2 linked regions of the Macaca mulatta genome follow. The protein of the gene in region 1 interacts with the protein of each later gene in a biochemical or structural test. Links are inferred from orthologs where the notes say so. Each region holds a gene or a part of one and is shown in the gene's direction. Other genes may lie near its edges.

Region 1 (3,500 bases):
ACTTTCAAACAACTGTTTCAACTTTGCACGTTTAACAGTTTGTCACACACGTTCTCATCATTCTAAAGCCTGTATAAAAGGAGATATAAAAGAAGACATTTGTGTGTAGAAATATTTTAAAAAGAAAACAAAGGGCAGGGGGGAATCTACCAAATTCATGGTACGAGTTGCTAGGGAGGAGAATAAAGAGGGCCTCTCCTTTATTTAAAGTGTTTTTATTTAATACTAAAATATTTATGTAGAGGGGGAAAATGACAATTTTAACATTTGTTCTTCTGGATATGGAGTGTGTATGATCTTCTTATGTTCTGTGCCAAGAGGAATTGAAAAGGCAAGCCCTACTAACAGTTTAAAATTTTCCTCATCGAGCCTATTGCATGATCGTATGACACTGTGCTTTGTTCATGTCATTCTCAGACAATTGGAATAAGCTTTAGGAAGCTTCGACATGTGTATTATCTTATTTATCCTTAAATCATCCCTGTGAGGTAGAGTTCAAGGTCAGGAAATGTAGACTTAGATAAGTTAAATGGCCCATAATTATTAATAAGTGACAAAGAAAAGTCTGGAACCCACGTCTCTCTGCAGAGCTCTACGTTGCTGTATTTATTATACTGTTACTACTTGTTTATGCCAGCTGTTATGCCATCATCTAACACCTAGTTCAGTAAATCTGCACTGCCTTCTGTAAAGCCTCCTACAAAGTGAAATTCTGAATAGAGTTTTTGTTTTTTTGTTTGTTTGTTTGTTTAAGAGACACAGTTTTGCTTTTGTTGCCCAGGCTGGAGTGCAACGGCACGATCTCAGCTCACTGCAACCTCCACCTGCCGGGTTCAAGCGATTCTCCTGCTTCAGCCTCCCAAGTAGCTGGGATTACAGGTGTCCACCGTCATGCCTGGCTAATTTTTTGTTTGTTTTTGTTTTGTTTTGTTTGAGACGGAGTCTCGCTCTGCCGCCCAGGCTGGAGTGCAGTGGCGCATCTCCGCTCACTGCAGGCTCCCCCTCCCAGGTTCACGCCATTCTGCCTCTGCCTCCCGAGTAGCTGGGACTACAGGTGCCCGCTAAGTTTTTTGTAGTTTTAGTAAAGATGGGGTTTCATCGTGTGTTAGCCAGGATGGTCTCCATCTCCTGACCTCAGTCATTTTTTGTACTCAGTGGAGACATGGTTTCACCATTTGGTCAGCTGGTCTCAAACTCCTGACCTCAGGTGATCCACCCACCTCAGCCTCCCAAAGGGCTGGGATTACAGGCATGAGCCACCATGCCCGGCTTATTTTCATTCCAGCTTCCCAAGCAAATGTGTATATTACCTTCTGCAGCAGATGCCTTCATAAAATACTATGGCAAAATCCAACATGTTAAGATGCCACAAAATGAGAGCTGCTTATATTGACTTGAGATTTCTTAAAAGTAAATTTAGCCATTTTGATAATTAAAAATTTTTTGTTACAGGATGTGAAGTTACCCCAGATGTAAACATTTCAGGCCAAAAATTTAACATTAAACTCCTGATTCCAGTTGCAGAGGGCATGAATGAAATCTGGCTTCGTTGTGACAATGTAAGTCTTTCAGTTAAAAATACACTTCAATTTTCTTGGATTTCTAAATGAGTTGACCAGTCATCCTTATATTTTATACTTGAAAGACCTGTCTCGTGATACACTGCACACATCAGTATTTCTTTTCTCCAGGAAAAACAGTATGCACATTGGATGGCAGCCTGCAGATTAGCCTCCAAAGGCAAGACCATGGCGGACAGTTCTTACAACTTAGAAGTTCAAAATATTCTTTCCTTTCTGAAGATGCAGCATTTAAACCCAGATCCTCAGTTAATACCAGAGCAGATCACGACTGATATAAATCCTGAATGTTTGGTGTCTCCCCGCTATCTAAAAAAGTATAAGAACAAGCAGGTACTTGCTTCATTTTACTTCATCTGTTTTCTGCTGGTTTGTTCTTATAATTTTATACATAACCTTGTTTTTCCCCTCTTAAACAAAACTTTTTAGTCTTAATATTATGTCAGGTGGTTAGAATATAAAATACAGATAAGAGTATCCCTAATTGGAACTTCTGAAATCCTACAAAATCTGAAACTTTTTGAGTGCCAACATGACTCTCAAATGCTCATTGGCACATTTTGGATTTCAGATTTGGGATCCTCAACCGGTAAGTGTAATACAAATATTCCAAAATCCAAAAATATCTGAAACCCAAAACACTTCTGGTCCCAAGAATTTTGGATAATGGATACTCAACCTGTAGGAAATAAAGTAACCTTTAGTCAAGTTTAAATTGGTCATTTAAAACAAATCTTTATCATTTTAATAAGGAGGCAGAATAGTTGAGAACTTACTCTAAACAACTTGCAGAAATCATTCTGTTAACATGATGATGTTCTTTCAGACATTTTAGGGAATTGAATATGGTCTCAATGCTTTGCATTCCTTAATTTATTTAATTTTATTCCTTATATAATTAAGTAAATGTGACGTAAAGTGCAGCCAGCATTTCCCAACAAAATTCATAATACCAACTATTGTTGAAATGGGCTTTTCCAACTTTAGAATGAAACTTTACAAGAGTATATTTTTAGCTGTGTCTTTTCTTAACATTATCAGTCAGAACCTAACCAAAATTTTATACATAGTTACACAGTTTGGTAAATTTTCATTGAAATTTGCTTTTGTCCACTCTGTTTAGAATTCTTTTCTTTGGAAATTAATACCATAAAAGGGTTGCTACTTAGGAAAATGGTTCTTTGGTACAACATAAAAGTCCTTTACAGGGGAATTTCACTTGGGATAGGCCCTGGTATTCCCTGCACCCAACATCATGCCATAAAAGGAAAAGGCTTCAATTTGGGGGTGGGGGGGATGAAGACCTTTAAAATAAATATTTTGTTTTTATCTAATTGTGCTTTAATCTTTGTTAAGGAGTAATTTTAAAACATACTGAAAAGGCTCAATGAAATGCCCAGAACACTTATTAATTCCTTAACTTTAAATATAATATTGATTATATGGGTCTGAAATTATTTCTACCTAAATGTTCAGAGGTTTTAATCACAGAGTATTTGTCTTTAAGTCTCAGAGGTTGTGTAAGCCTAGAAATTGTTTATCCCATGGTCATATGATGTGGGAGTAGTAAGGAATGGAGGAAATGCTGCCCTGGGGAACTGTGTGGAATGTAGATTGTAAGTTAAAAAGGGAAAGTAAAGCAAGTGCTAATTTCATTTTTCATATTCGTAGTTATTTCATTTTAAAATTATACAGAATCTTGTTTCTGAAAGTGAATATATTTGCCTTCAAAGGCAATAAGTAATTTCAAACCTGTTTTATGACCAGTTTTATCATTTCACAGTAAGGTATCAGGGAGATAGACGAGCTTAAACGAGAACTGCCACACATTATTTTCTTTTTTTTTTTTTTTTTTTTTTTTTTTTTTTTTTTTTTTTTTTTTGAGACAGAGTCTCGCTCTGTCACCCAGGCTGGAGTGCA
Region 2 (4,031 bases), on another chromosome or scaffold:
AAACCTTTCATTGGCTTCTAATATATGCAAAACTTCTAATCTACCTCTTGAACTTGAACAGCATCCCTTCTCATTTACTCTGTATTCCAACCACAAGGATCACTTGTGTGTGTGACTCTAACAGAACATGCTGTCTTGCCCCAGGGCCCTTGTACGTACTTTTCCCTGTCTGAAGAACCCTCTTCGCTTCCCCAGCTTCTACTCAACAACTCTCTCTGACCCAACGTCAGTTTCTTTTGGAAATTCTCGGATCTTTAGATCAGGACTCGCCCTCAACGGTGCCACAGGTGTCCCTCCCTGCAATACACACAGCGCTGGGATCCACCAGCGTCTGCTTCGCGGCCTGAAACAGCTCCCATCGCCTCTGAGGGTCACTCACTTTGTTTTGCAAGGCGGCCGCAGGAGGAGGTCGTGAGATTACGGGCCCGAGGCCCGCGGCTACTGGGGCCGCCGAGGCCCACTCAGGCTCTTCGAACATGAGGGACCTGAGGGCAGGGTCGCGGAGTCCCCGATCTTCTCCACGTGCAGAGCTCTTCTCTGGGAGTCGCAGCGCTCAGACCCGCCAGAACGGAGCCGGAAACCAAAGCGTGACAGCCAGGGGTTGCTAGAGCGGCCGGCGCAGCGCAGCGAACCATCGAGTTCAGCCAGCCGCGGCTAGAAGGGCACGGAGGCGGTGGGAGGGGAGGGACGGAGGCCCGCGCTGCCCAAGAGCACCAGGGGCGGGGCGGGGCCGGCGTCGGGCTGCGGGCGCGGCCGGACGGGAGTTCCCCGGAGAAGGAGCCTGCAGCCCGAGTCCCGGTGAGTGCGAGAGGACCCGCGCCCCCTGCCCACGACTAGGGGTCCTGCCAACCTGTCACCCCTCACTTCTCCTGAGTTCCAAGTAAGGAACGGAGCCAACCCTGGGGAGGACCCCCAGTCCCCTCCCCCAGCGTATACGGATCCTGAACCTCCCCACTTCCCCCAACTCTATTCGCGGATAGGGTCTAGTTGCCTACTCTCGGACATCCGTTCAGGAGACACTACCTCTTAGTAGACACTACCTGCCTCCCCTGACCCCCCTTTACCTCGCGCCTAGAGGACACAGCCGGGCATCATCCCGCAGCCACAAACTCCTTCACAGACCCCCAATAGCCGGGGACGCAGCTCAGGCCCCTTACCCCCAACACAAACACTTCTCTCCTGTGGAGGATAAAGCTTGGGATTCATCCTCCTTCCCTGGATCACCCCACAGTCCTCAGGCTACCCTAATCCAGGGGACTCGGCGCCGGGACGCTGCTATGGACGACATTTTCACTCAGTGCCGGGAGGGCAACGCAGTCGCCGTTCGCCTGTGGCTGGACAACACGGAGAACGATCTCAACCAGGGGTGAGCTGAAGCGGTTGGTGGATGAGAGGAAGGCTAGATATCTCTTGGCTACGTGGAGTGGAGTGCTCATGTCTGGTGGGGGCGGCTGCCTTTGCTAGCCAGTGTAATGAGTGCTAAGCACAGCCTGTGGGGGGCAGAGGGTCTTCACAGAGGACGCAGTTTGAGCTGAATCTTGACTGCTGAATGAGAGTTTCACAGGCAGAGGCTGCAGAGAGCTTTCCAGCCTCAGTAAACTGCATGGGCAAAGACTAGGAGGCAAGGCACAGAGCAGAGAGAACAGGAAATTGTCTGGAGTTCCATATAGCTGGAGGATAGATGATCTCTGTGGGTCGGAGCATTGGGTACAAGAGGAGAAGAACAGGACATAAGACTGTAGAGGTCTGCAAGGATCAGCCAGATCATGCAAGCATATTTAGGCTATAAGAAGGTCTTTATTTTAAAAGCAAGGTTTTAAAGCTATGTAGTGACATAATGAGATTGTCCATTTTTCAGTATCATCTTGGATGCTTTGTGAAGAGCAGGTGGAAAGGAGGCAGTTGCCTAGTTCATCGTAGAAGTAATGATGTCTTGGACTAGAATTAGGGTGAGTGAAAAAGAGAAGTGATCAAATTCCAGAAGTCTTTAGGACAAAGAATTGTGGAACTTGGTGGGGAGTGAGTAAGGGCAAAGATGAGGACCAGGGTTCTGGCTTGGGAACTTGGATAGATGGTGGCTGTTTTTACTGAGATGGAGAAAACTGGAGGATGAGGCATTCTATTTTGGACGTGTTAAAGTTAAGGTGACAATGCAGCAAGGTAGAAATGTTGAGTGTGTTGTTGGTTACGCAGATTTGCAATTCAGGAGAGGAATCTGACTTGGAGATAACAGATTTGAGAGCTATCAGCATATAGATGATACTTGAAGCCATGGGTGTGAAGGAGAATGTCTCAGGAGAGTGGAAGGCAAGAGGTCAGGAGACAGGAAGCCTGCACGACTGAAAAGGAGCAGCTGTAAGTTGAAAAAGAAATAGGAAAATGTGTCAGTAAAGCTTAGAGAATGTTTTAATGAAGGGGAGGTGGTCAACAGCAGTTCAGGCTACTGAGAGATCAAAGAACATTAATATTTTAAAGTAGCCATTGAATTTACAATTGGGATTTTTTTTTTAGGTTCAGGGGTACATGTGCAGGTTTGTTATATGGATAAACTCGTGTCATGGAGATTTGTTGTACAGATCATTTCATCACCCAGGTATTAAGCCATAGTACCTATTAGTTGTTTTTCCTGATCCTCTGCCTCTTCCTATCCACCCCACTCTCGTAGGCCCCAGCGTCTGTTGTTCCCCTCAATGTGCAGTTAGGATGTATTTGATGATCTGTGAGTATTGTTTCAGAATAATGGGTGAAGAAATCAGACTACACTGGGTTCCTTCATTTAAGAAACTATGATGAACACCTTCTGTGCTGGGTGCTAGAGTCCAGAATCTGACATAATCTCTGCTCTCAAGACAGCAGATTTGTGGCAGATTGAAAAGTAGACCAGTTGCGGTGGCTCATGCCTGTAATCCCAGCACTTTGGGAGGCCGAGGTGGGTGGATCACAAGGTCAGGAGTTCGAGACCAGCCTGACCAACATATTGAAACCCTGTCTCTACTAAAAATACAAAAATTAGCTAGGTGTGGTGGTGTGCGCCTGTAATCCCAGCTACTTGGGAGGCTAAGCCAGGAGAATCGCTTGAACCTGGAAGCAGAGGCTGCAGTGAGCCAAGATCGTGCCACTGCACTCCAGCCTGGGCCACAGAGCAAGACTGTCTCAAAAAAAAAAAAAAAAAAGAAAAGTTGAGAGGTAAGCAAATAGTGAAAGGGAATGTAGACCAGTTCTACAAGGTTGGCTGAGATAGGAAGGCAAGAAGAGCAGTAATGATGGTGACTCAGGGTGGCAGATTCAAATTCTTTATTTTTTAAGATTGGTAGAGTTTAGTTTTTAGGTTTGACAAGTCAGGATCACCTGTCATCTTAGTCTAGACTTCACTGGTTCCCATTAGGTTCTACACTATTTATCTTTAATACTTTGCAAAGTCATTTGTTCCATTTTTCACATAATTCTCAAAGGGTACCCTGATAAAGACAGAAAGCACTGTTACTATTTTGTTGATGAGGAAATACAGGCTTAGGCAGTTGTCCAGTTGACCTAGCATCTAGGAAGACTCTAGGAAGATGTTGCCAGAAGGAAAAGGGGTGGCATTAATGAAACTGGATGGTTGTGGTGCTGGTTTGAGGGGTAAAGTATGGGGGCCTAAGTTGGCTGTATGCTGGATATGAAGAAGGGGTTAATTCCTAGCAGGATTCCTTGTGATAAAAGTCCAGGCCCTGAGGTGGCAGGCAGCTTGATAGTGAACAGAACCCTTGTGCCCATACTTTTGCCCTCAGAGTTTGGCCTGCCCAGTACTGGAAGCTGATAAGTCAGGGCACAAATTAAAGGTCTAGGAGGCAAGACCAGCTGATAAACAGTGGGTGTAATGCTTCCTGGGGATATCCCACCTCTAGGGAAAGCTTTTGGCTATTTCTGTGTTAGCAGATGCCAGCAAGTTGTGGAGGAAAATGATTAAGTAAAAGGCCACACCCCCAACCCCTTCAGCTGTAGGGGCATCTGGATGGCCAGACCCCTGATCACTCCAGGCCTTGCCTAGA

Evidence for each region. The genes of interacting proteins can lie anywhere in the genome.
Region 2: the proteins of FERMT2 (region 1) and ILK form a complex in vitro, tested with the Homo sapiens proteins (2 studies listed by BioGRID). The link is inferred for Macaca mulatta from reciprocal best matches to the Homo sapiens genes FERMT2 and ILK.

What each region holds. Positions count from the first base shown.
Region 1 is NC_133412.1:126,000,894-126,004,393, reverse strand, and holds part of FERMT2 (fermitin family homolog 2), read left to right. Parts: intron 1-1,452; coding exon 1,453-1,559; intron 1,560-1,691; coding exon 1,692-1,913; intron 1,914-3,500. UniProt on the Homo sapiens protein: Scaffolding protein that enhances integrin activation mediated by TLN1 and/or TLN2, but activates integrins only weakly by itself. Binds to membranes enriched in phosphoinositides.
Region 2 is NC_133419.1:59,177,271-59,181,301, reverse strand, and holds the start of ILK (scaffold protein ILK), read left to right. Parts: upstream 1-1,231; 5' UTR 1,232-1,277; coding exon 1,278-1,366; intron 1,367-1,857; exon of another isoform or gene 1,858-1,949; intron 1,950-2,511; exon of another isoform or gene 2,512-2,540; coding exon of another isoform or gene 2,541-2,593; intron 2,594-4,031. Other genes in the region: RRP8 (ribosomal RNA-processing protein 8), read right to left, coding at 380-478. UniProt on the Homo sapiens protein: Scaffold protein which mediates protein-protein interactions during a range of cellular events including focal adhesion assembly, cell adhesion and cell migration.